Schizosaccharomyces pombe: one gene and its partner. Changing the gene in region 2 together with the main gene of any one other region gives a genetic interaction. Each region holds a gene or a part of one and is shown on either strand. Other genes may lie near its edges.

Evidence for each region.
Region 1: of rds1 (region 2) and toe2, changing one suppresses a phenotype caused by changing the other (phenotypic suppression), as found in Schizosaccharomyces pombe (one study listed by BioGRID).

Annotation. Positions count from the first base shown.
Region 1 is NC_003424.3:1,014,432-1,032,983, forward strand, and holds toe2 (protein toe2), read left to right. Parts: upstream 1-7,238; 5' UTR 7,239-7,485; coding exon 7,486-8,376; exon of another isoform or gene 8,377-8,415; coding exon 8,416-9,363; intron 9,364-9,404; coding exon 9,405-9,443; 3' UTR 9,444-9,704; downstream 9,705-18,552. Other genes in the region: dnf1 (P-type ATPase), read right to left, coding at 1-897; post-transcriptional RNA stability regulator Mkt1, read right to left, coding at 1,935-2,238, 2,299-4,396, 4,438-4,444; oac1 (anion transporter), read right to left, coding at 5,181-6,143; fap2 (L-saccharopine oxidase), read right to left, coding at 9,745-11,046; ssd2 (succinate-semialdehyde dehydrogenase), read left to right, coding at 13,885-15,366; histone acetyltransferase Hat1, read left to right, coding at 15,799-15,856, 15,907-16,010, 16,072-16,290, 16,380-16,495, 16,567-16,930, 16,987-17,262; coronin Crn1, read left to right, coding at 17,751-17,784, 17,827-17,879, 17,928-18,155, 18,197-18,285, 18,335-18,552.
Region 2 is NC_003424.3:1,664,222-1,675,014, forward strand, and holds rds1 (protein rds1), read left to right. Parts: upstream 1-3,517; 5' UTR 3,518-3,849; coding exon 3,850-5,058; 3' UTR 5,059-5,401; downstream 5,402-10,793. Other genes in the region: SPOM_SPAC343.21 (uncharacterized protein), read left to right, coding at 2,566-3,042; SPOM_SPAC343.20 (uncharacterized protein), read right to left, coding at 5,402-5,743; glutamyl-tRNA amidotransferase beta subunit Gta2, read left to right, coding at 6,134-6,289, 6,356-6,592, 6,663-7,850; tif222 (translation initiation factor eIF2B beta subunit), read right to left, coding at 8,155-8,731, 8,778-9,168, 9,221-9,434; tit1 (tRNA isopentenyltransferase), read left to right, coding at 9,726-10,793. UniProt on the Schizosaccharomyces pombe protein: May have a function in stress-related responses of the cell.

The DNA of each region.
Region 1 (18,552 bases), 650 kb from region 2:
CCCTTCACGAAGGATTGCAATTGAAATAAATATAAGTAGAGGGATGATTGTAGTGTAAGTACCGGTGGTTGACCAACCTGGAATCATTTGCATAATAGCAATCAGCAAAAAATAACAGTTGGCAGTTTTTGAAAATTGAGCAATGATCTGTAAAGGGACAAAATTGTATTTGTTGTACCGAGACGAAACAATGCTGTTTTGCATATAGGGCTTTCCTGTACGCTCATCAATTTGGGAGGAGTCATCGTAAGGGTTTATGATAATTATTCGACCATGACTCGACTTCAAATACCGTGTATCACGCGAAAACAAGTTGGATAAGAAATTGGAAATGAACTGCAAAGGATTTGGTATTGTAAACTCTTTATGCCGCGACTTTAAAAATTCCGGAGGAATTGGAGGACGCCCATTGAACACAGGTGATGCCTCACGAGGAGAAGTAGGCTCAATATCATCTAATGGGATTTCTTCCACAGGTCCCTCTAGGAAGGAAACATGTGCTTTCTTCTTTTTTCCCTTTCCTTTCGAGGTCTGCTCAGTTTTGGTAGATGGAGTTAACACTGAAACCATAGAATTAGCTGTCAGTTCTAATACCGACTTGAAAGATGATTTCAGTCTGCTATCTGATGGCGAATTAACATCGTGTGATTCGTCAACTTCAACAGAATCCAATTTTTTGCTGTCCCCATTTATATCAATTTCATCAAGCTCATTTTCATCAATTCCTAATGGAAGAGCGCTATCCTGAAATCGTACATGAATATCCTCTCTTCGTTCGTTAGTGCCATCATCTGCAGCGTTCCAATTAAATGCACCATCTTCTTCTCGATTAGTCGTTTCATTTAGAAAATTTGTTTCAAATCCATTGGAATCGCCTGCGATACCACTAGACTTCATAAGTGCATCTGAACAAATAATGTTGGTTGTTGCTAGATTCACACCAAATGGAAAATCAAACTATTATTTGATGGTAGCTTGCTGAACCACACGGGACATTGTGCTACGCCTTACAAAATGAGACTACACTAATAGCAGTTCATTAAAGTTAAGCTTAATGAACTCCACAGTAATGGCTTACGCTTGCTTAAGACTTTCTAAATAGTGTGTCAAGTCTCGCAATATGCAATGTAAACAATAAGTTACAGAGATTTTGATTAACTGTCAGTTACTTCAACTACTACCGTTTATATTTAAAAACTGACATTGTCAGAATTTTGTTAACTATCGACAAATATTATTAGATGTTAGTGTGAGAATTGGAGATTCTCAAAGCTAGCAAGTTGTCGTAAACAGCATCTATACAGTAAATATCTTAAAACAAAATTATACTATCCAGCTTGTAAGTGGTTAAACTAAGCAAGTCTTTCTGTAAGCACAAGGTTTTTAATTCGTGAAATTGATTAGGTAAAATTATGTTTCTGATGCGAATTCGGTTTTTTGTGAGTGAGCCAGTACACATAAACTAAAATCTAAAAAATCCGCTTGAACTTATCAAATAAGTTAAAAATTATTCCCATACTATAGTGTAAAAACAACGGTATAAGTTATTTTTTGACAGGTAAGTGTATTGCTAAAAATAAATATAGTATCCTTTAGAACAAATTAAACTATATCTATAAAAAAGTTTAAACATCATTGGGTTTTCATTCAAAGCTGTGCTTCTCTATTTTTCTTTCCCTTCCTTTTTTCGGGAAGAAACAATGTAGTTGAATATTAATATTAACAATACTTTACTTGTTCGAAATAATATCTCAACAATAATCAAGTGTAATCACATGAGTGTATAGCATGTTGAAAATGCTTCGACAGTATGAGGGAAAGTAATTCATGTAAATGTGCATTATGACTGTGCCGAATGTGTTAAAAGCTCCCGCTAAAAGAAGGATACTTCTCTCACTAATTTATTTCTATTCATAAACTACTAGTTCTGGTCTTCATAAGCCAAGAGAAAATATCCATTGGTTAGTAAGGAAGAGTTTACTTAAAACGAGCTTGCCAATGGCACTTGTATTTTCTGCTTCCTTAACCCCTTCCATAAAAGTTTTCCAGAATTCCAAAAACTGGGCAATATGGTTTTCCGCAGATCCAATGGTTGGGAATTCCTTTTCTATTATTTCATAAGCCTTCTGGATGTTTTCCTGTTGAGAACTGGCTTCTTGCTCTTTTGAAATGATTTCAAAAAAGCGCTTGACAACAAAACCTGAGACAAGGCTACCATTTATGTTTTGAAAAGGTAAGCTAAATTGGTTAGAAACTTTAAATATAAACAAAAAAGGAGAAAGAGAAAAAAACACGTACGTTTTTCGGATAAGTTTAGGATCTATTTTGCTTTTGTCGACGTTTCTGTTCAAGATGACCGAGGCAAGAATCATGGCCATGAGTTCCTTCAAGTTGGATCCGAAGCTAGTTTGTAGCTGATAAAACTGTAATAAATTCTCATCAACTATAGAAATTTTACTAACTTCAGGTCTCTGTTTTATTGGTAGAAATGTTGCAACCTTTGCCAAGAACTCTGTGGCAGAAGTTATGGATAAATCGGCGATGCTTGCACTTGAGGAGGAAAGTAAAGAGGGCTCTTTTAATTGTCTTAGTCTAAGAAGCTCGAATAAAACAACAACGGAAGTTTGGTTCTGTAAGTGACAATTTTCCAACGCTTTTAACAAGGGGCATCCCCAAGATGTTAATTGATGAGATGTTAAAACGAAAGATCTAATTTGCAAAAATCTGTAGCAAGAACTTAAGACGATTTCCGCAGTAGAAGACAGAGGATGCTTGGGAGGGTTTTTTATGCCAATATTACCTTCAGTGCAAAAGCTTTTCTTTACAAATACCGGATCGTTCAAAGCACGTAGTAGATCAAATAATACAACGGGTTCTTCCTTTAAAAAATTACTAGATAAATAACTCGGTAAGTTTTCTTCGTATATCATCCATGCTCTCGTATCATTATACAAAGGAGGATCATAGCTGTGCATTACCTTCAAAGAAGCTTGCTGATTATGGCCATGAAGGGAAACAATATCTCTGGCTTGGTAAAATCTGTTAAGCGGTTGGGTCAATAAATTTAGCCCCTGCGACCATATTTCTTCTAAATCGTCAACAAATCGCCGTTGATCCACAGCCGCTACAGCTGCTGCATTGTCGCGACCAGGATTTAAACCAGAATTAGCACCAGAAAATGTTCCTTGTGATGCTTTGTCACCAATATGTTGTTCAAGTATGGAAACAGGATCACTAAAACATCCAGATACTAAAGCACCTATCATTTTGCAAGGAATAAGACCGCGAGAAATGTAAAAATAAATCTCGTTGGGAAGACGGGTGCCAAAATATATATTTATGTCGTTAGGAACAGATTCTGTGGGAACTGGTGGTAAAGTGAGACCTTTTGTATCCATCACAATTCCAAACTTAGAGAAACAAACAGCCCTTTTGTACTGTTGAAGATAATCTTGAAAAATGGGCTGGGGAAAGATTTCAGCAAAATGAAGGACTGCACGATACGCAGAACCAAACATACGAACAAGCTCCATTGCGCTTTTAATTAGAAAAGTACCCTCAATCTGAGGAAATGTAGGAGAAATAGCAGTACCACACAATAAACAGGAATCGATGAACTGCTGCCATGAAAGGCCGTTCGTGTCTTGAAGAAGGGCATTTCCATCTAACCATGTGAATGAACTTTTAGCGGCCGAATTGATAGTTGTTTGAGTTGATGGGGATGAAGGGTCAGATGAGATTTTAACGTTAGAAGATGTGTTCATAGAAGTAATAAATTTTTTAACACCAAAAAGAAGCAGATCCGTGGAACCATAGATGGCATCGATGTAAGGTGAAGATGTGCCGTTTAGAAAATATGCTAATTGAGCCATAGCCAGATACGGGGCGACAAAATACTCCACATTACATTGATCTAAGTAAAACTTTACCTGGTCGCAAAGACGATCTAAATGATCTCGCTGATTGGTGTACAAAAGTGTTGGTTTACTTTCGCCGTAATTCGCAGGACCACTTGCGTCCATGCGGTACATATTACGCTGAATATTTGCATCATAAGGATCAAAAGCTTCGAAATCTGTCAATGCACTATGACTTTTTTGCTTTCCCGGCACTTCCAGCTGGCTGCTGGCTTCAAAGGTAAGAGGTATACCATTGAAAACAAAAATGGGTGTGATATTCTCAGTTCTCAACTGCTCAAGGAATTCCGAAATTCTGTGTTGTAGATATTCGGATTCACCATTTACTGCCAAACTTTGAAGTTCCTGTGGGGTAAAGGAATGAATAATTTGAGTCAAGTAAAAACTTGCGTCAATACCCAACTTACAGTTTTGAAAACTGCTCAAGCTAGATTTATGTTGATGCTTTTTGTCTATGATAAACAAATTCAATGAACGAACTAAAAAATTAGCAGATGAGTAGCAAGGTATTTTAACTTACTTGTCATTTTTTTTCTTTTTTTTAACTGAATTTACCAAACAGCAGTTTAAACCGTAAGGCGGTTTTTTTTTACTAAACCTTTAATAGATCCTTAAAAACAAACAGATTATTTTTATATGTAACGGATATATTCAGATTTTATTATGTTGTACTGAATAGAGGTGTCCGATCCGTTTATTAGAGTCAGCAGGAACGAGCAAATTAGTGAACACGAATACTACGATAAGAAGTTCAGAAAATATTTTATTAAACTAACATGATTTATCTAAAAAACATATAACTGTTGGCGAAATGTAAAGATTTCAAATAAAAACGACGCAAAATGAAGAAATTTATCCATTGTGACTACACAAAGCGGTAATGTTTCCAATCTTTAATTATAGAGAAAATAAGTATATTAATAACTAAATAAAAGGTAAGTTGATATACAAACGCAGCCAGATGCCTGAAATCCAAAAACAAATACGTACATATATTGAGATAACTGACGGATATATATTACAAAAGACAAAAACATGCCGATTGATCAAAAACAGCTTGAAAAGAAAAATCGACTTTTAAATGAAAGTAGAGTGGAAATAAGTAACGAGACAACGAATGTAAATAAAAATCGTTCTTAGATACAAACATCATTTCTTTACAATTTAACTGTTCACTTGATATACACCAAAGCCACTGGGGGTTTTTATGGTTTAGTACCAAAATTATTTATAAATAAAGAAACGTGCGTTTGAAAAAACAACTTAATCCTTTTGGAATTTCAAAAAGAGTTTATTGGTTTGCTCCACGAAGGTAAGACAGAAAATTGTGTGAGGAGCGATTCTGGCCAAGTGAGCACCAAAACCCTTATATAAGGCAAAGAATCCTTCAGAGCGGATTGTTTTAAGGATGCAATCAATCGGATTTTTATAAAGCTCCTTGTTCTTTTGGTTGTACATACGAGTCATAACAGTATCGAAAATTTGCATGGTGCAGCATACACCAAATCCAGAAACAGCACTAGCAGTTAAGTGTTTGATCATACCCTCTTCCAATAGATTGTAATGCTCAATCATGCGTTTAGCCCAATTATAGATAGGAAGCTGAACAGAGGAACCAGAGACAGTACGGAGAATGGCAGCATCAGCACCAACAAACAAACCCTTAACACCATTTTCCTTAATAATACGACTGAATGCATTAAATATATGCTTGTAACCATACTGCTGGCCAACGGGAAATTTAGGAGAATACGACTGCATGCGAGTCTTAACCAAGAAAAAGGGAGAGCCAAACAAGGCACCACATAAACCTGAACCGGCGCCACTTGCAACGTTAATAGCTAATTTATTACCCTTGGGATCATCAAGGAACCACGTATTCAGAGTACGTCGAATCGGTTCGTAAAACCCGAGACGACAGCCATTGAGGCAGATTTGATAAACATAAGCAGTACCAAGGCCTCGTTGAAGACCTCTTATACCTTCATGTCTAGCGATTAGAGAAAATGCCTGACCGACGCTTTTGTAAATTCGCTTAGAAGGATCCAATTTTGTCAATTGACCTTGAAGTTGAAAACGCGTTTTAATAACTTCGAAAGGATTTGTCAGTGTTACAGCACCACAAGCTGCAAGACCACCTGACAAAAATCCACTAACGGGACCAAGTTTTTTCACCTGAGTAGGATTGTGTGCAGGAAGGGCTTTGATAGTTTGTTTCTCAGACATGACTTAATATTGGGATTTTTTCTTCGAATTTAAACAAAAAAATCTGCCTCAAATGGCAATTCAATTTGCGTAGCAAGTGTTGGCCGAAGGAAAAAGAATTCTTGCAGTTGAGATTTTTTCAGTGATAATAGCCTTGATTAAATTGTGCGCGGAAAATTTACCATTGCGGCAATTTGGGAAGGCAAAACGTAACTTTCGTACGGACTCAAAAAATAAGCAAAATGATACTAATAAAAAAATTATAGATTGAATTGCAATTTTTTTATTTACAAGGCACCCTAATTGCTCTATACTTTTTCCATTTTAATGCTAAATTAAACAGGTCACATGTTACTTATGTTTACTATTTGAAAATACAGATACTAGAACGCACTTAACCTCTTTAAATTAAGGATTTACCTACAATCATATATATTTTTTTTTTCTTTCTCTGTCCTACAAATATTTGGTAGAATTTTAAAATTTTTTGAATAAAAGTCATTTGAAAGTTTGAGTAATGTTTGTCAACAATAAATGCGATCGTTCGAAGGAAGGAAGGTACACACAGTTAACATTTAACTGACTTTACACTTTAAAATAGGATTCGTTGGAAACGCATGGTAGATAATGTTAAAGTAAGACAAATGCAAAATCATAGTAGCAGTAGCTTTAGATGTCATTCACTTCTGCAATGTTGTACTATTATAAAGAAAATGCCATAAAGTGATTCAAATAAGTGCATGCTCTCAACCGTCTACCCTTAACCAAAGTTCTTACTCAGACAATTAAGATGCCTTTTAGTAAGATTTTATACATACGGGGTATAAATTGTGATCAATGAAAAAAATGCAAGTACTAAATTTGATGGATAGTTTGTCGCAAGGCAGGCAATTGAATTTTGAAATAGAAATCAGTCATATTTAAGAATGGTAATTTGTTAGTAAATGCATTAAATCCCTGTGTAAATTATATGTTTCTATTTGAGTGCTTTACGTATCTAACGCATGTTATCCGAAAGCTGTCTGCTGTTGAGATTGCTTACTATTGAAATTAGTGGATATTTATAAAAGTTGTCCAGTGTGCCTTGTGTTTGGTGTTACGAATTTACTTTTCGCCAACATCCAAACACAAGTGTCTTTGGTTCAAAATCAGTATAGCAATAAGATTTAAAGATATAATTCTTGCCTATTTAAAGCCAAGACTACTTTTTTATATATTACGGAATTAACTTCTTTTCGCTCCTGTCAATTGGTCGCAAGTATCATTTTTTTGACGTCTATTGATTCAAGAATTAGAAGAATCTAGCATTCAATTGTACTTTATCTTTCACAATATTATATAACTTGATGTTTAAGAAGAGCATATGAGTGAAACAACCAAGTCTGGTTCTAAAAAATCAGGGCAGACATCACGTAGGGCGATCCATTCGTGTTTGGCTTGTCGAAGAAAAAAACTTAAATGTGATCATGGAAGACCTTGTTCCAATTGCTTAAAGCGATCAACAATCCAGTCATGTATTTATATAGATCCTGGGAAAACTAATTATGACAAGCGCTTTGAACGGGGTAGCGAAGCTGACGAATTGATAGATCAGTTACTATCCCGAGTTAGCATGCTGGAAAAACGTTTAAATGAGGTCGGCACTAAATCGCAATCTGATTATGAAAACCAACAATCTCATAATCTTCCTTCCACGCCTTCGGCAGATGCTGAGACACAGCGAAACATTGGTTCTCTTTCAGTATTAGATGATACAAAATCACAATATGCTAACTACTCGTCCTCTTCACACGTACTCTGGCATTTAAGGAATTATCATTATCTTAACTTAGATCAAGATATTCAAGAAGAAAACGATTCTCTGATTAGTCCGTTTTTTTTTCGAATATCCCCCAATGAATCTGCATACGACTATTTACCCCCCAAAAAAGTATCGGATATTTTAATTGAGCAGTTCTTTTTTCGGTGTCATATGCTCATTAATGTTTTACACAGACCAACTTTTTATGTACGATATAATGATTTTTGGGAAAAACCGCACTTGCGAAAACCAGCTTTTACTAGTTTATTATACGCAATCTATGCTAGTGCATTACTAGCTACACCTGTTGAAGTGCAAAAGACATGGGCGCTTGGTGAAGACGAGAGATATCTTCAGGTAGATTATCATCAAGCTTTTCGCTACGCACTGGCTTCGTCTAATTTTCTGTTTGAACCAGATCTTAATGCTTTGCAAGCTCTTGTTCTTTGTCAGGTTTGTGATATTGAAATGGGTTTAACTAACTCAATTTAGGTTGTCTTTGATTCTGACCGCATTCGCGCTCCACCTTCCTTAGTCGGCTTGATTCTTCACGTAGCGCTATGCATGGGCCTTCACAGAGATGGCTCGCTTTATGGACTTAATCCGGTAATTTCCGAGATTAGACGTCGTGTGTGGGCGAATATAGTCTTGTCGGATCTTAGAACTTCTGAAACTATTGGTTATCCTCCTCAAATTGTTGAGGGAAATTATGATACACGTCTTCCCTCTGCTTTACCTGATGAAATTCATAATGTAGATTCTTCCGTTATTATTTCTGAGGCCACTTTTGTTAACATTATCACGAAGGTTTCACGAGCATATTCAAAGTGTTTGAAAGTTTTGCTAGGCATTATAGCTCCTAATTATACACGTTTATTAGAGCTTGACAGGGAGCTTTCCAATTTTTTTAAAGAATTGATAGAAGTGAATATTCCAACTAGTAATACTATGCACGAACGGCATATTCGACTTTTAGTTTCCTATTTGTCAAACAGATTCCCAATTCTCTTGCATTTTCCGTTCCTTTTAAAAAAAAATTCTGCACAATTCGCCTACAGTCATTCGCGTGCTTTGGAGTCCGCGACTCTGGCTTTAAACCAGCTGTACGAACTAGGCAGCAATCCAGAATACTCAAAGTATTCATGGTATCTTTGGAGATATCCGCCGTTTCATCCCTGCATCGTGCTTTTGCTCGATTTACTAAATTCTCAAAAAATCATTTATTTGGATGATGAACGAGTTGTTCTTTTAAACAAAATATTTTCTCTTTTTCCTCGCAGTTCTGGTAAAGAGCATTATCAAAAAGCCTGGGCACTTTTACAAACTTCAAGGGCAAAAGTTTGGGAAAAGCTTGGGTTGAGCACTGTCGACGTATCGACCACTGATGTGAGGCTTACAAATTTTGAATTTTTTGATGCTAACAATCTTGATATCAATTGGGTATGTATTATGTGTTTGTGTTTCCAGCTAACAACTGCTAGGATGATTGGGATGCTATATTTCAACATTGTCCATTCTAAAGCTTATTGCAAATGTCTATTTTTTATTATTTTATTTCGTCACATTACGCGCCAATTTTGTATTTAAAAATTTATTTATGCCAGTTCTTACAATTACAGAACAACTACGTCCGCTAAAGCGATAAGGTTAGTGAAATGTCAACTGGTCAGATTTAAAGAGTTATTTACGTTTGTTTGTTGTCTTATAATACGCTGTAGTTTATCTATCGAAAATAATAACATAATAAACAGATAGTTAAATATATAAATGCAGCAACAAAACTGTGAGTAAAACTATAGGATATAAAACAAAAAATTAAACTCACTTGTCGTAAGTAAACTCTGCATCCTTGTAATCTATCAAAGAGCGAACACATCTCCATTTCAGTTCTGAAGCTTTATCATCCTCTCTCCAACGCCATGCATCTTTCCATTCTTCAGATAAATCCCCTAAAATACGTTGTGCTATGTATCTGCCAATATTGGGAAGAAATTTGAAAGCATGTCCGCTATCTCCGTTTGCGACAAAAACGTTATCAAATTGAGGGACCTTGTCAATAAGGAAGTTTGCATCTTCGGTGTCAGAAATCCAACACATCTTCGTGTTTATCAGGCTGCGGTCTGCAAGATCAGGCAAAAAGGTGTCAAGGAAACGGCGCATTTGAATAATGGCATATTTTGGTAGACTACTTTTAGATGGTCCGGAATGAGGAATGGAAACAACTTTTGAGTTTTCGTCGTAGTCGGTCTCAACGTTACATACGTATTCATATCCGGTGCTGGCCAATTTTATGAGCTTTGTCACAGGATAAGGAGGGAAAGCATAAGCGCAATCTGGATCAAAAATAATAGGCATATTTTTGTAAGTCTTAAATTCTTCATCGGTTAGCTGAATATGCGCGACCGGTAAACCCTTAGCACAGACACGATGAGAAGTATTTAAATAAGCGTTCAAATAAGCACCAACAGCTAGTAAAATAGTATCAGCATGATATATAGTACCGTCCTCTGTTTGTACTGATACATGATTGTCGTTTTTATCAATATCAGTTTCGGAATGATTGACCACAAATTTTTTGAATTTACCGGCTTTACCAAAAACAAACTCAACTCCTAGCTCCCTAGCCTTTAACTCAAGTAATTTTAGAGAAGCAGCTGAATTCGCATAACCAGCGTGTTCATTTACGACAGCTTGCATGTCTGAGCGCAGCGGTGAATTAGAAAAAAGTGAAGGATATTTTTTTCTTATTTCTTCTGAACTGGAAAGATTAATAAGAGCAGAGTCTCCTAAAAGCTTTCTCAAGTTTCGTTGGGCTACCTCATCGAAACGAGCTCTGTATGGGTCTTTGGAAATGGTGCTTAAGCGGCCGCATTCGAAATAAACAGAGGACAATTCTGGGTCATTTCTCCATTTTTCCATTGCTTCCAACGCCAATTTCATATACTTAAGATCTGCATATTCTGGCCGAACAATCTTGTTGATATCGTTTGCTGCAGACATGCTGGAAGGAACGGGTTCGGCATCAATAGCAATGATATTATCAAAGGAATGATTTTTTGCCAATTCAACTGCAGTTGAAAGGCCAAAAACTCCACATCCAACTATGACAATGGTTCTCGACATGGCTCAGTGGGTACTTGATTATGGCTAACGGAATGAATAAGGGAGCCATCAACCTCGTGGTCTATGCAATGAACAATTTTAGCATCCAGGCTTCTCGCAATAAATTTATATCAATCAGTCACAATGAGAACAATATAGTGTTGCAAAGATATTGATTGATTGATTCATTAGCAAAAAAAGAAGCCTTCATTCAGCTAGATAACCATGTAGTAATCGGTTCCATTTGATTTTGTAAGAAAATGGTTAAGAAATTATCCTCAACATAGGGTAAGGTACATAACAAAGATCAAGCAATTCGACCAACAAAGGAAGCAGAGATGTCTCAGAAATTCTTCATTATTTGAATCTCCAATTTAATGCATTATTAACATAGGCACGTGCTATTCGTTTTAACAATTATTTAGGCACAACGGTATTGGTGTTGCTGGATTGAGCGCAAAGGATGCAAACGTAATGCTGTGCTGCGTTATATGTTCCAGCTGATAGTTTTAAAAGCCTAAGTTTCTTTATTCGACCTGCAAATGCCAAGTTGCGTTACTGTATTATAAATTTTGGACTGATTCAGCTCTGGCTTTATGTTGATCTGATAAACCGAATGAGCTAGCAGGATTGCAGCATTCATTATGCTGTTTCCTCGTCCTCACAGTTAATATTAACTATCTTCTTCCTTATTTGGCAAACCAGTAAGGCATCACAATAATCCGCTTTCCATAAACAGCGGCATATGAGTTGCAGAGCTTTGTTTACCAAATACTGTATCGTAACGAAGAGCAAGAATAGAGGGCTACGTAATAAAAAAATCGCCGCTGTGCTAATGCAATCGTTACGTTTCATTTAAAAGCATCAATCCATATCGTTATACTAAATCAATGTTTACAAAATTCGCAGAATGTTGCTAAATTGTAATGCAAACAAACTATTGTATTAGTAAAATATTATCTTTTTGTATGTCTGGTTCATGAAAATCTCTAGAAAAAAAAAGTAGTAAATTTTTCTTCCACCTTAATAACCTAACCTATGTGTCAATAATAACCCAAGTTAGTCTCGCATTATGATTTCAGTGTGACATAAATCGACTTTTGTCAGTTAAGTGATAGTTAAAAAATAATTAAGAAATTTATGAATTGTTGTTGCATGGAAAATTTTCTTGGCACACCAAACATATGAAAATTCGTTTAATGATTTAACTGCCGTCTGTCTGAGTTTAAGAAAATAATAAACCTTAGCAGAAACCAGAAGTAAGAAAAGAAGGTATGTAGCATAGAAGATTCACAGACATAAAGCCGATATAGCTTTGTATGACAATGAAAATTTAATGGCAGGATGAGAAATAGCAAAATAAATCAGGTTTGAGCTTTTTTCAATTGTTGCGCATGTCCAATTTTATTTTATTTTTTTTTGTCAAATTTTTAATTGATAAAATAAGATATCACCAAAAATAACGAGTATATATTGTCGATCTTCATTCTTCAAAAGTGATAAAACATTACAAAGATTTATTCAATGTTAATTTTGTAAGCATTTTCATGTTATGGGATTTTTAATCATTTACTTGTTTTTTATTCGATACTACAGATTAATGTTATTTGCATGGTAAATTGTATAGTATTACTTTAAGCGCCGATCAGTAATAAAGAAATTTTAAAGAAATTATCGATTCTTTCATATTCTTCCAAAAATTACGTGCCCATATCAATCGGACATGCTTCTTCCATTGCTGCACTGAAAAAAAAGCCATTGTGTATTCGTAAAGCAGTAAAAAATGGAAACATTGCGATTACAAAATTTTAAAACTATGTAAACAAACGGTGAATGCACTGTATAAGATCCATGCAGCATATACCAATTGAGTTTTTTATTTTTTTTTGGGTACTATATGATAATTGTCAACTTTAAAATAAAAGTTGGACACCATATGAATAAATGAATTTTTAAAATTAAATATGAAATAAAATATATGGAAAAAATACGAAAAAAATTGATGGTAAATAAATTAATTAAAATTAAATTAAATATGTAACTTACTATACTGATAACTTTAATAATCGTTAGAAAAGCAAGGAAAAATTAAGCACGGATACCACAAATGTTTAATTTTATTTTTTGATAAAAGTTTCAATACTATTTTAGTTATTTATTTCACTCCAATTATGTCGCTAAAAAAAAAAAAAAAAAAAAAAAAAAAAAAAAAGAAACCGCATTAATACAAAATACATTTTTTAATATGAAAAGCGAAGCGATTTTACCCACTGTTCTTTTCATACTCATTCACAGTAGCTGTAGCTTATATTACTGCCATTCAGTATAGTAAAGTCGGTACATATTCACATATGGTGGCACTCAATTATATGATGTAAAAAATGCAATTCCACCAAGTTCGCTATATACATCATTGAAGAAGACGGGAGCCGTAAGCTAACAAACCAGACACTATGATTTATAAGTTAGTCTGCCGATATTTACGCAAATTCAATACGCCTTTCTTTTTTTCCAGGGGAAATGTTTGCATACACCAAGAACATGATGTTGAGACGTAAATCTAGTACGGAAAACCAAGATGCATACGTTATGGTTTGATCATTAAATGTCTTGTTGAAAAATTATAAATATGCATCGTTTCTCTCGATGTTTACACTACATTAAAAAAAAGAAATCTGCAGCTTAATTTGAAAACACTAAAAAAACCTGCATTCTTCTTTTTTCCACGAAAGATCTGTTGCTGCTTACGCTATTATTTGTTATTATTATAAATAATAATAACATTTCTATCGATAACTTCGTTTCATATAGTTTTTAACATTTACTCCTTCCCACTTTTTTGTATAATACTCTTCAAAAATGGCCCCTCAATTCAAACGCCCTGAGCTCTTTGGCTTTGATAAGTCTCATGCTCAATCTTTTGTTCAAGGAAAATGGATTTCTTCTCCTAACAACAAAACTTTTGAGGTTGATAACCCAGCTACTGGTGAAATAATCGGTAAAGTGGCCGATGTCTCAGTAGAGGAAACAAAAAAAGCCATCAGTGCCGCTAACGAGGCCTTCAAAACTTATAAAAATTTTACTCATGTCCAACGTAGTCAGTTATTGGAACGCTGGGCAGAGCTTATTATGGAGAACAAAGACGACTTGGTCAAGATGCTTACCTTAGAAAACGGCAAGCCTTTGAGCCAAGCTGAGATGGAGGTCACCACATGTAGCGGATATCTTAAATGGTATGCTGCTGAAGCCGTTCGTACCTTTGGCGATGTAGCTCCTTCCAGCTTACAAAGTCAAAACTTTCTCATCTCCATCAAACAGCCAGTTGGTGTCAGTGCCTTGATTACTCCTTGGAACTTCCCCGCCGCCATGATTGCTCGTAAAGGTGGTGCCGCTTTGGCTGCTGGTTGTACCGCTATTTTCTTGCCTGCTTTCCGCACTCCCTACGTTTGCTTAGGTTTAGTCAGGTTGGCGCAAGAGGCCGGTTTCCCTGACGGTGTCTTAAATGTGATCACTTCTTCTGATGCATCTGCTCATGGTAAAGAACTGACTACCAACCCTATCGTTCGTAAGGTTTCCTTCACTGGTAGTACTAATGTCGGTAAAATTCTTATGGGACAAAGTGCCAGCACAATCAAGAAGGTTTCAATGGAGTTAGGAGGTAATGCCCCTTTCATTGTATTCCCTGACTTCCCCATTGATCAGGCTGTCGAATCTTTCTGCACTATCAAGTTTAACTCTTGTGGTCAAGTTTGTGTCTGCCCTAACAGAGTTTACGTTCACAAGAATGTTTACGACGAATTCGTCAGCAAGCTTACCGAAAAAGTCAAGACCATTAAAGTAGGAGATGGATTTGACTCTTCTTCTGCTGTTGGCCCTTTGATTTCTCAAGATGGATGCAAAAAGGTCAGCAAGCACATTGAAGATGCTGTTTCAAAGGGTGCCAAAATCACTGTTGGTGGAAAGGAGATTTCCTCAAGCAAAGGTTATTTTTTTGAACCAACCGTGCTCTCCGGTGTAACTCAAGACATGTTGGTTGCTAGCGAGGAAACATTCGGCCCACTCGCCTCTGTCTTCAAGTTCGACGACACCGAAGAGGTGATCGAATGGGCTAACGACAGTGATGTTGGCTTGGCCGGTTACGTCTTTACCAATAACTTGTCCACAATGATCCACGTTGCCAAAGAACTAGAGGTGGGTCTTGTAGGTGCCAATATCGAAATGGTTGACGAACCATTTATTTCCTTTGGCGGCATCAAACAGAGCGGTTTTGGCAAGGAAGCCGGTCGTTTGGGCGTTCAAGAATTTATGGTGGTTAAGGAAATCAATCTCAAGACTCTTTAAGGATTTTCGCTTTAGAAAGCTGCATATTATTGAACAAGCAATGATGTCCTCTTTTGGTTAATGACTAAAAAATCCTGATGTTATGACTGTTTTACATGTTTGCGATACAAATCGTATTTTAGTTTAATGATATCAAAAAAATTTAATACCTGAACATCGTGGGTCATCGATGAAGAATGGATTGTTGTGTCAGAAAATCTATACTTGTAGTTATTGTTCTGAGCAATCTGAAAAGTTATAAAGAATTGTAGGTTCTAAAATTGGCAATACTGGAGCTAGAAATCTATATAATAGTAAATATTTTTTAATAATAACAGGTGTAGCACGTGAAATTTTGCGTCGCCTTGTAGTTTGTTACTTCCAACTAGACACATGTATTTTTTGTTGTTTGACTTGAAATAGGGTCAGGTATTCAATTTTCCGTATGCAGTGATGAGTGCTGTTGATGAATGGGTACATAATGCCAATGAATGCATAGAAATTGTACAAGGTATGCTATGTTAAATTATAATGTTTTTACCTTGTGTTAACACCTGTCAGTAAACGAAAAGCATGAAAAAGATTGTCAATACCATCCTAGCAATACATATGCAATATTTGGAGATGCTGAGGTTATTTATGGATATAAAGATCTAAATGTCACTGTAAGATTAAATCAGCAAGTTTTAGTCATGAAATTTGATTGCAAATAGTAACAGTTATTAGATAACCTATGAATGCCCATTGATGGTCCCAAAACTGGAAATCTCATATTCAGAGCGCCTAGCACCAGATTCAGGAGTGGAACCAACTGATATTGAAGGAACATTAAACACTTATCTAAAAGATCGTTCCATTAAGGTTGAAGGAAACTCATTTGACGTTCATTCGGCAAATAGTATTCATAACTATTCCTTTAATGGAAAAACATTCAAGATTTTACAAGTATGTTCGATTACCTTTCAATTGGAGAAGTATTCAATTATTGAATATCCCTATATGTTCTTTGGCTAATAATCGTAATGTATTAATAGGCAACGGTTCTTGAAGCTAGTGAGATTATGCAGCATTTGCAAATATTTTCCTTATTTTTTATTGAAGGGGGCTCTTTTATTGACCTTAATGATCCAAGATGGATGGTATATTTACTGTAAGTTTGTTATTTTCTACGCGTCTACTTTCCTTTTACCTTTTTATCGAGGTTTTATTAACAAAAATAAGTTACGAGACTACTGAAGATGATTATTGCTTACGTGGTTATTGTACTGTATACAAATATTATAAATGGGACAAATTAATTCACGATGGTATTCGAGCTCGTATCTCACAATTCGTGATTTTACCCCCTTTTCAACATCAAGGACACGGTTCGCAATTGTACAATGCTATTGTTAGTACCTTTTTGAAAAATCCTAAAATTTTAGACTTCACAGTTGAGGATGCATCGGAAGCGTTTGATAGCCTTAGAGACCATTGCGACTATAAAAGATTATTATCAATGGGAATATTTTCAGAACCTGACTTTCATCCCTCTCTTTCTAGGCAGTGGATAAACTCGAAAATAGCTGAAACAAAGTTAACCCAGGTTCGTAATTTGCTAAATTTACCATGCAATGCAACTTACTAATTGTCTTTTTTTAGCGTCAATTCTCACGCTGTTGTGAATTAGCATTTACAACGAAACTAAAAAAGCTTTCATTATTGGAGCGGAAATCTGTTAGACTAGGAATAAAGGAAAGGATTTTTCGTCAAAATCTTGATGTGTTGCTACAGTTGGATAAGTCCGAACGTATTGAAAAAATTCATAACGCCTATGAAAATCAGTTTGATGAGTATAAACAGATTGTCAAAAAGCTACCCAAGCTTAAGGAAGATTCGCCTCGAAAACGCCAAAAACTTGCTCAATCTTCTTCCTAAATGAAAACACTTTTAGAGATCTGAAATACTTTGAGAATATTGAAGGCATATTAGCATAAAAAGTTATGAGAATCGACTAAATTACACTATTGGACGCAATTACTTTTTATATAATTTGCTTTTGAAAGCTTTCGCTTGAAATGATTAAAGACATTTGAAACAGTGATCATTTTAATAATATAAATTTTGTATATATTTTGCAAATTTAGTGTGATATCTAGTTTAATAAAATCTATAAAGGCACCTTATAAAAATTCAAACAATTCCTCATAATGAACTGCTTTTTCCAAAATTTAAATATTTTAATATCTACTATCAATAATATTGGTTATTTTCAACGACCAGTACAACTTTAGGTGCTTGTCATTCTCATCCGTCCTCCTTCCTATTCCGATCCCGACTTTGTTCATTACCTGACACCCCGGATAAAGTTAGCTCAATTAGCAAATTCTCATTCGATCTTATAAAGGAATTATTCTTTTTCAAAAATGAGTGGAAGATTTGTGAGAGCTAGTAAATATAGTACGCATGCTTTTTGAGTAAATAATTATTAACTGACGTTAGGACATATCTTTGGACAAACCTGCAAAAAAGAACTTTGCTACGACAACATAAAGGTTGGTCGATACTTTAATGGTTTGAAATTTACTAATTGTCTTCAATAGCTTAGCAATAATGCATGGGATTCTAACCTATTGAGTGTGAACCCCTTTTACCTCAGTGTTAATTGGAATGCGGGAGCTGGAGGTGCATTGGCAGTTATCCCTTTAAACGAAAGAGGAAAGCTTCCCGATCAAGTTAATTTGTTTCGGGGCCATACTGCGGCTGTTTTAGATACTGATTGGAATCCCTTCCATGATCAAGTATTAGCATCCGGCGGTGATGATTCTAAGGTATCCTGCTATTTGACTTTATTTATGTATTAACGAATTAGATTATGATATGGAAAGTACCAGAAGATTATACTGTTATGGAGCCTTATGAAGATGTTCATCCAATTGCTGAATTAAAGGGCCATAGCCGGTATGTCGTACATTGCATTAGGGTTTTAGTTACTGACTTTTTTGTATAGTAAAGTTGGTCTTGTTCAATATCATCCCACTGCAGCGAATGTTTTGGCATCTTCTAGTGCAGACAATACTATCAAGTTGTGGGATTGTGAGAAGGGTGTAGCCCATGTATCTCTGAAAATGGATGTAATGTGCCAGTCTATGTCGTTCAACGCTGATGGTACCAGACTTGTAACAACTTCTCGAGATAAGAAAGTTCGCGTCTGGGACCCTCGTACTG
Region 2 (10,793 bases):
AGTTTAGCAACAGGAAAAAGAATATGATAGATGGATGGAAATGAAGACGAATGAATTTTTAAAAAATTGAAGAGAAAAGAAAAATAATTTTAGGTGTAATCGGACTACTGAAAATAATATGAATGCTTGGTTAAATTAAAAAGTAATATTATGAAAAGAATTTGAATGGAATGAAAAGATGTTTGTTAACGGTAGTATTTCTATTATATTTTATTTTTTTTGAAAAAAAAAGGTAATAGAACAATTCGTATGAGGAGGAATAGAACCTCTTTCACTATTAAAACTTTGACGCAAGTTTACATGATTTACACTTTATAGGGTTGCTATTTTCAGACTTGATGGTACAAAAGACAAAACGTAAATTCAAAAATCGTAGGAATAATAAATGAAAGTTGTTTACTGCTGTGGGACATAAAAAATGGGTTGAAAGGTATGCCATACTATAAGTATTTGGTACTCAGAGGTTTGATGGCATGATAATAGTAAAAGAAGTGTTGAATTTTTTTTTTTTTTAGATAAAATTAAATCAAGTTGAATATTGTTATTGTCATTATTATTTTATTTTATTTTGTTTTTTTAATCATTGATTTTCAAATAGTACCTATTTACGTTTGCAAATAAAGGCATTTCACTTTAATATTTCTTTATGAAAGCATTTCTACATCAAAATCAAACTGCATGTGAATTCATTGGCAAGGTAAGGCAAGGCAAGGATTACGTCGAAATGTAGCTTGCTTACGAAGGTTTTTTGATAAAGAAAAAGAATGCATATGCATGATTCTTGGTCATATGAATGTGACACATCCGTCCATTCCATTCGTCGTTTTGTATGTCAAGTTACTTGCACATTGCCAATTCTCATCGTCGATCAACGCATTTCTACGTAAGTGATTCCGTTTAAAAATCAATGATTTCTCTTATCTATGAAATCACAGACTTTGTAAGACAGAGTTGAACGAGGCGAAATCGGCGGCAAAATAATATAGGAAGATTTATGGAAAAAAGGCTTTGTAAAAAATACAAGAAAAAAAAAAAAAAGGGATGCATTTAAAAAATAAATTCTAAATTTTTTAAATAAAATAAAATAAAATATGCACCAGAACCAAAAGTTAACAAAGACTACTGAATTGATGGGTACTAAAAAGAATGTCCCCTTTCTTACATTACCTATCGAGTCGGGGGAACTCGTCAAATCGGTGTGCTAAAAGCTATTTTGTATGTGTAGATCTGTATGTTGGCGATTTCTTTGAAACTTGCTCATAATGACGCTATGTGTGGTAGTTGACTATCTATCATATCTTAATGTTGGGCTTCATCTGATTAATCTGTACGAGAGCATGATGGCATTTCTTCAAGGCAAGACAAAATAGGATGATGATGATGATAGTAAAAAAGGAATTTTTTAGAAGGTTCACTTTATTCCTATTCCTATTCCTCTTTTTTTCCTTCAATTAGTTACAAAATATCATAAAAAAATTTACAGATTTTATTTATTATTATTAATTATTATTATTATATTTTTCTTTTTTTTTTACCTTGTTTTCCCTCCCCACGTCTCTCCTTCCCGCACATATATATCTATTTATACTTTTCCAGAACGAGACCACAATAACGTAATGCAGTGAAGGACAGGGTGGTACTTCCACCAAGAAAAAACGAGTTTGCCGAGAAGATTCACCTTCCCAACGCTTTGCGCAAAGCTTCCCTGTAGCTGGAATAGGGTAAACGGCAAAGAGAAACCCAGCAGAGGGGACCAACCAGAGAGGAATGAAAATTTTCAGGAGAGGTAGAAGGAGAAGGAGAAGCAGGGCGAGAAGGTGTTAAGTTTAAGTATATGCAAGAGTTGAATAAGAGGTGAACAGAGATGAGCAATAGTGAAGGGCATAGTAATACGGTGTGTTTGGGTTACGAGGAAGAAATGGATGAGAAGGAAATCTATTAAAATTTATTGAATTGATTTTATTTTATTACATTGGAGTTTCTTTTAGAATTTTTATGTTTCATTACAGTACGCCTTTTTTTTTTCTCTATGCTTTTGCTTATTTTTCTTTTCTTTTTTTTCAAGTTTTATTTCCTATATACTTATTCTAATTTATTGGATTTTTTTTTTATTAATTTATTTATTTATTTATTTTCTATTATTTTATATTATTTTTTATTTGAATTTTTCTGCCCCCGCCCCGAAACACGGCAGCTGTAACATACTTCCCGCAAATGCAATACAATGCAATGCTTGATCGTTCCGTAAGTCTGACGAAAAGATGGTCAAGCTTATTGACGAGTCGATGGATGGTTGCGATAAGACTAGCTATGCCGGGGAAAAAGGCCGCGCCTTTATACAATCATGCAAACAATCAATGGTCGACAGAACGATTAAATCAATAAAGTTTGAATGAGTTAATAAAGTCGATTCAGTCAAAAATTCAAAAAAAAAATATCAAACAGTCTAGTCTAATCAAATCAAATAATCAAGTTATCAACTAATTCAAAAAATCAAATACTTTAAGTAAATTAATTGTTTGACTGAATCGATTATAGAATCAATCACCAATCGAATAGATAGATATGGTTAGCTACAATGTGCTAACTAAACTGTTTTTTATTTTCTCCGGAGGTTTGGTTTTTTTTTTTTTTGAATTTTTTTTAAATCATTTCAATTACTATCCTACCAAACTTTTGTATTACATTACATTCTATTTCATTAAAAATCATCCTTCTCTTTTTCTTTTATTTAATTTTTTTTTGTCCACAGCATCTTTTTCCTATTCTTTTCCCTCAAAGTCTCATTTAACTTTTTACTCAAAAGGTGCTCCCTCTGTCTTTTTTCTATCTCTCAAATCTTCCCCATGTCCCGGGTACTGCTCCTCTACTCTACTCTACTCTACCTCTAACTTGCTCCCTTCCCTCCCCTCCCCCCTCCATGCTCCTCCTCCACTCGGCTCACGTTTGCTTCACGTTTTTTTTTACCGTAGATCAAACGCATCGGCGTATCCTTCTTTTACGCCCCGCTATTCTTTTTTCCCTTCTTTCACTTTACGATGAGCTTCTCGCTATCTTTCTTACGGTGCTTTCTTCGCCTTGCTCCTTCACGTGCGATGATGAAATGGATGCGACATTCTATTAACATCGGCATCGGCGATGGCCAGCTAGACTTTTCGTCGCGTCGACATGCAGAGGTTTGATAAATAAATGTGCGTGCGTGCGCATGGCATATTTCTTTCGATTTTATTTTCGTCAAAATCATCATGCGATGAATGCCACTGATTTTTCTTTGCTCGAATACTCTGGCTCCTCGTCATTTTCTTCATCGCAACATCATCGTGCGAATTTCGCATGCATGGCGCTCTCGGCTTGTAAATCCCTATGCTTGGGAAAACGTAAGGGTTGGAAGCGATGATATAGTACCAAGTCACACGTCAAGCTGAGACCGATATACGTTCCAAGCTTGAGCCTATGACATGGTACTTCCGTCTTTATTCTCGTGGTATATATAGATCGCATTCACTAGCCTTACTTTAGCCGTCGCAAATTGTGTGACTTTGTTTTGCCCTTGTTTAAGTAAGTAAGAAAAAATAAACGAGCTTGTCTTGTGAAATATCAAGCCTACCTCTCTCTCTCTCTCTCTCTGTGCTTCCCTGCTACTCTACTCCTAATACTACTACTACTACCACGTTTGTTAGTTGTAGTTTTTTTTGGTTGGATTGCTATTTTGAAAAAGACCTCGTTCGTCGCTTCTTTTTATATTTTTAATTTCTTTTCGTGTCGGTGCGTGTGGAAAACCTAGTTGATTCTACCTTACCTTAATAAAACACTATCGCCTCTTTTTTTGTATATCTATAAATCTATACAATGGTTCAAGCTCTTACTGCTTCTTTAATGGCCGGCGCTCTCTTGGCGCGCGGTATCATCGGTGCTAAGGCCGATCCAGTTAACTTTGCTGGTATTGGCGGTGCCGCTTACGAATACAACTACACTGCTACTGGTTCCTTTAATCAATCTATCATGCCTGCTAACTTTACTCCTGCTGGCGGCATCGATACTAATGATAGCAGCCCTACTTATCACCCTTTCAGTGACTTTGACTACCAGTCCTTGTCTCTCGCTCTATACCACGAGTACATCGAGTACGACCTCTTCAACTACGGTCTCACTAAATTCTCTGATGCCGAGTTTGACGAGGCCGGCATTGACGCCGAGTACCGTCACTTGATTCGCTTCATGGCCCAACAAGAAATCGGCCACATCGAGCTTGTCACCAACATGCTTGGCCCCAACGCCCCCAAGGCTTGCTCTTACCAGTACAACTTTGACACTGTGGGCTCCTTCATTGACTTTGCTCAAACCCTTACTAAGTGGAGTGAATCCGGTGTCTATGGTTTCCTTCCCCACCTTGACTCTCGCGCAGCAGCTGCTCTTTTGCTTCAATCCATCACCACTGAAGCTCGTCAACAAATGTCTCTCCGTCAATTACAAGGTCTCTTCCCTTACCCCGTCTGGTTTGAAACTGGCATTCCTCAATCCTTTGCTTGGTCCTTGATTGCCCCTTTCATTGTTGGCTGCCCTGCCGAAAACGAAAAGTTGGTTTGGCAAAACTTCCCTGCCTTACATTTGGTTAGCCCTCCTGTTCACACTAATTTCACCAACGGCTCTTTCCCTCAGTACCCTAACGGTACCTACATGTATCCCGCCGCTGTCTCCACCAACCGTACCTTCCCTCTCTCTCTTCCCGGACAAAGCGTCGAATTGGCTTGGGATGCTCCCGGTATGGCTGTCGGTCCTAACAGCTCCTACATCACTTCCACCTCTGCCGGAACTCCTCGTTATGCTGCTTGGATTTCCCAATTGAACGTTACTTACGCTCCCTTAAACATCACCGGCAACAACAGCGGTGTTACCTACCAACCCAGCTCTCACCTTTACAACGACTCTACCCAGCAAGTCATTAACGGTACCAACTTCTTGGTTCTCGTTGACGAAGCTATCCCCGTCACTCCCTTCAACATCACTGCCATCAACGAGCACGTTGTTGCTGGTCCTCTTGTTTACGAGTCCGGATAAGCGTCTCTATCAAGGCAAACTCCCTTAGTTGCACATGTACACATCATGTAGATGATTGACTCAGTTGATTGAGCTCGTTTGTATATGTGGCTAGGTTGGAGCCTTAATAATTAGACTCGCCTTACCATGGATTTATTTCATCAAAAATCATACTCGTTCACGATTCTATCTATTGGCCTGTCTTCTTTTGGTTTGGATATGTGACCAACATACAAAAAGTTTGGTACGTCTAATCCAGCTTTGACCAACAGTCTTATGATTTTTTTATGACTTTTAAACCCCTGGAAGCCGTCGGCTACTAGGAAACCTTTAAACATAAAGGGGGAATTCCTCCTTTTAATATTTATTCTCTTTTCGGTGAATCCAACATTCCATTATTTATTCGTAGTCTTTTGTATTTGATTGATTGTAGTGCGTATAAGTCGGCGTGGCAGTAAATGAGCTTAGTAAGAAGTGAAGTATGTAAAGTAATAGCTAAGTAGTAAACAAATTTCGAAAACTTGGTAAAATTTGTTGTAGCGTAAGTCAATGAACGGAGTAAGCAGTGTCTTGGTACATATATATATCTGACGCGATGGTGTACGCAAAAGATGGTGGAGGAGTGGCTGGTTGATGAGGAGGCTGGTCCAAAACTCGCAGAGTTGATTTCGTCATTCAATTGCAAAGGGAGCATTGTAACTTTCATGTTTGAATCAATTGCATGTAATTTAAAAAAAAATATAAGAGACGGTTGTGATTGGAATGTTTTTGTAAAAATTCCAATTTGCTCGTTTCAATTTTCAATACAGTGAAAGTTGAAAAACGTTAAAGTATCTTAAAATGGTCTCACTACCACGTCCACAGCTTTTGCATCAAAGTTTCCTTTTCTAATGAGCATATATATACAGTCAATAAATAATATTACATTAGTACATCACTTTTTCGATGTAAATAAAAATACCGTCTAAACAAAGAATTTCGTAAGTGAATATTATCGTTATAGCTTTTCGTTATATGTTACTATCGAGGAGCTCGACTACCGCGACGGATACTAGCCAAATACTGATATCCTACACTTCAATGGAAGCTATTTAGAATGTCTTTTGGAAGATGGGCCGCTTCCATTGGATTGGAAATACATTTACAACTTGCAACAGTGAAAAAGCTGTTTTCTCCAGCAAAGGTTAACCCTCTTGCACAGCCTAATACTTGTGTTGCGTATTTCGATGTGTCACTACCAGGCTCTATGCCGGTGAGTTTTTTTAGAATCGAATGCGTTTCAATTATCACAGCTTATTAACTTTTTATTTTTTTATAGATTTTGAATCCTGAAGCGTTAAAGTTTGCAGTGAAAGGAGCATTGGCACTGAATTGTGAGGTAGCGAATGTTTGCAAATTCGACAGAAAGCATTACTTTTATCCAGACTTACCTGCGGGATATCAGATTACGCAGAAAGAAATTCCTATAGGAAGAAATGGATTTATACCATTGTCGGCTGGTTTGGACAATGTTCCAGATACTCAAATCCCCATACAACATATTCAACTAGAACAGGTAAGAAACATTGTCAAAACAACTTTCCATATACTGGATTTGAAAAGTATTTTAACAAACTTATATTTAGGATACTGCAAAATCGACGTCTGCTAAAAATCCATCGCGAATCTTACTGGATTATAATCGAGCAGGAACTCCGTTATTGGAAATCGTCACTAAACCTTGCTTTCATGATGTCAATACTGTTTCTGCATTCTTGTTTAAATTGCAATCCATCGTTCGCTTCGCTGGAATATCTGAGGCGTTGATGGAAAATGGAGGGATGAGATGTGATGTTAATGTCTCAATCGCGCCAGTCATCTCTTCAGAAAATCTAAATGAACTTCATTTTAAAAACAACGGAGTGATATCAGTAGAGAAATCCATATCCCATTTCCCCCAATTAGGTACTCAGTTGGCTCGTGTTGAATTAAAAAATTTGTCAAATGTACGAAATGTAGTAAATTCAATTCGCCATGAAGTGGACCGACAAGTCTCTTTGGCAAATATGGGTGTTTCTTGGCCCTCAGAAACGAGGGGATTCGACGATATCACTGGTAAAACATTTCCTCTTCGTAATAAGACAACCTCCGACGATTATCTATTTCTTCCTGAAACCGATATCCCCCCAATCATACTTTCTCGGAGTTATGTGAATTCTGTCTTAAAATCATTACCTGCTCTGCCTGACGAACTTTTCCAAAAGCTTACAACGGGTTCTCATGCCATTAGTCATAAAGAGGCCCGTACATTATTAAGTGTGAAGGAATACTATCACTACTACAGAAATGCGTACCACCATATCGATTCTATAAGCCATGTAAATCAATCTTTGAAAGAGGATGCTTTACGTACCCTTCCATACTGGATCACTGTGGAACTAGTAGGAAAAGTTCGTGAAATTGACCCTTCCCCTAACATCAATATCGTTCCTCCTTTGCAATTGGCTGACATTGTACTTCTTGTTTCCAAGAAGAAACTTACAGCTGCATCTGCTAAACTCTTCCTTCGTTCATTGATAAAATCACCTTCATCGAAACCTATATCTACTCTCATCCAAGAAAAAAATTTTGGTACCATTGGCGATTCCGAGAAAATAAAAGCTTGTGTAGAAAGTGTTCTTAGTAAACATTCAAAACAATTTGAAGAGTTGAAAAATGGTAAAACTTCCCTTATAAAGTGGTTTGTTGGCCTTACGATGAGAGAGCTTCGAGGACAAGCAAGTCCCAAAGACATTGAGATGGAAGTGCAAAGCAGTTTACGAAGGGAAAAGTAATCAAATTGGTTTGTATATTAGTGGCCCTAGTTTTTTTAATTACTGCATATTTCAAATCATTAGACAATGAAAGGAAACTCGTTAAAATTCATAGTCCATTTACTTTAATTTCAAAGTTTTATTTTGCTGAGTTAATTGCCTGTATTACTTGCAACAGAAACCCACAGTTAAAAAAATTCAATCTAATGTAACCCATGTTATTTATTCCAAAATTTTAATATTTACCTAAACACGTGTAAAGAAATTTGATAAACTTGATTTAATAGGTAATCAATTTTCCAAGAGAAAATAGAATGCAAACTCTTTAAAGAATTGTATCGCTTGCATCATAAGTATCATTCATAATACGATAAAGGTAGGAAGGAGGATAGCCACCCAAATTGGTAATAAACAGATCTACTAGGTCTGGTGGGATGTAATCATAGTAAGGGTTTAAAATTTCAGCGCGGCTTATTAGATCACCTTCATTAAAGGACATAATTTTATCAGGTGAAGACAGTTGGATAATGGATTCTAAGTCATAAGGGTAAACAGGGCTAAGCTTATAAATACCCGAACACACCACTACGGGAGTAGCATGGTGCCTGGCAGCCTGAGCAACTAATTGGGCTCCACTATAGGTTACCAATCCTCCGTTACCCAAGATTGCATGCGTACCAAGTATAACTTTATTCACGCGTGACATGATTGCAAAAATCGTAGCATCAGATATAACAGTTGTATCAATACCAGCCTGAGCTAATCGCTTTGCCATGGCATGAGAACCTTTTTGGTTATTGGGAAATCCTTCTGCAACAATCACTGAAAATTTGCGTTTCTTTGCGGCAAAACGGAGAAAAGCTTCAACAGTTTTTGAGCAACCCTGAGTTAAAATAATTTCACTAAAAAGGTTAGCTAACTGATAAGATGTTTAGCATGACACCATACTTTGAATGCAAATGGTCCATTGATTGAACTTCAATATCAGTATTAATCTTGTCCAACTCATCGATTACATCTTGGATGCCAGATATGATCACAGCGCGCATATCCATGCCACCGGTGACCCTACTGTCACCGACGGTTTTACTATGTGTGGGAGACTCAAGAGTAGGACGACCTAATAAATTAAGCATAGAAGAGTACATCTGAACTGAAACAGGTTCGTGACTTTGAACCAATTTTTCGTTAGAGGGAATGTCTCTTTTTTGAGAAGGGCTAGAAGAGTTCGATGAAGAAACGATTAACTTCTCATTTTCATCAGCAGTCTTTAATAATTCTTGATATTCTTCGCGGATTAAGCGTAAAATTCTTCTAATAATATTTCCACAAGAAAATTCTTCACGGTTTAGCATGTAACACAATAAAAGAATATGATTCAAAATACATACCAGTAGGTTGAGCCTTGACAAGAGTAGATCCAACAGCACGGACTGTATCAATTAATTGATCAACTGTTGACCAGCGAGTTTGAGAAATCACTTGTCTCATTACCAGCGCCGTTTCAACGGCAACTGCAAAGGGGCCTTGTACCTTTCTTGACTTTAAGTCTGCTATCAAGCTACTTACAGCCGGATAGGTATGTTCAACATTAATAGTTGACATTTTCAGGCGATGGGAAACGACAAGTAGTGTTTACATGTTAATAACGAACAAATACGAACGCTGTAAAAATGTAATAACTTGTTTACAGTAATTAAAACATCGTTAAAGCATATACCGAAGTTGACGCCGCAATAAAGGAACGGGGATAGTGAACCAAAACAAAATGTAAGGTAAAATCAGTTGGTAAAGAGCCAGGCTTGCTTGGGAAAATTTGGGAAATGGATTTGTTAGTCTAAGCTTGATTCGGTGTGTAATCTATTGAAGATAAGGTAAAAATCTATATCTTATAAAATGTTAAAGCCCCTTTGCGTTGTCATCGGTACTACAGGAGCTGGTAAGTCGGATTTAGCAGTTCAGCTGGCGAAACGGTTTGGAAGCCAAGTCATTAATGCTGACTCGATGCAAATTTATCGGGGATTTGATACTATAACCAATAAAATTACTGTGGAAGAGCAAGAGAATGTTCATCATCGCTTGATGTCCTTCTTGAACTTTGACAAAGAATACAGTGTTCCCGAGTTTGAACGAGATGCCTCCCGCGTAATTGACGAGATTCACAGTCAAGGAAAGATACCTATTGTGGTTGGAGGGACTCATTATTATTTGCAGTCCCTTTTGTTTGAAGATACTACTTTGTCGGCTATTGATAAATTGACGAACGATTCATCACCTAGTAAGCCACCCCATCCGGACTCTCATATCTTGGATGATGATCCATCTGCTATGCTTTCGTATTTAAAAAAGATAGATCCCGTGATGGCTGAGCAATGGCATCCTCGGGATACTCGTAAAATTCGAAGAAGCCTAGAGATATATTTTCACACCGGTCGACCGCCATCTGAAATTTATTCTGAGCAAAAAATGAAGTCAAGTGGCTCTAAACTTCGATACAAATCTCTAATATTTTGGGCGTTCGCAGATTCTTTAGTCTTAATGCCGCGACTTGATAAACGTGTTGACAAAATGCTAAGCCATGGATTGGTTGATGAAATAAAAAGCATGAAGAGTCTTGCTGAAAGTGAAAAATTTTCTCCTGATTTCACCCGTGGGATTTGGCAATGTATTGGATTTAAAGAATTCATGCCATGGTTTGAAGCGCCTTCGGATATAGTCTTTAATGATTGTTTAGAACGAATGAAGGTTTCTACTAGACAGTATGCAAAATCTCAGAAGAAATGGATCCAAAGTCGATTCCTCCCGATGTGTTTGGCTCAACAAGATTTATCCCCTTCTTCAATTCTATTTTCCACCACAAACACTACGGACTTGAACAATTGGGAAGAGCAAGTTGAAAAGGCTTGTAGAGTATTTCAATATTTTTTTTATAATGGCGATGCCATTGCTCCATCTGCTGATGAT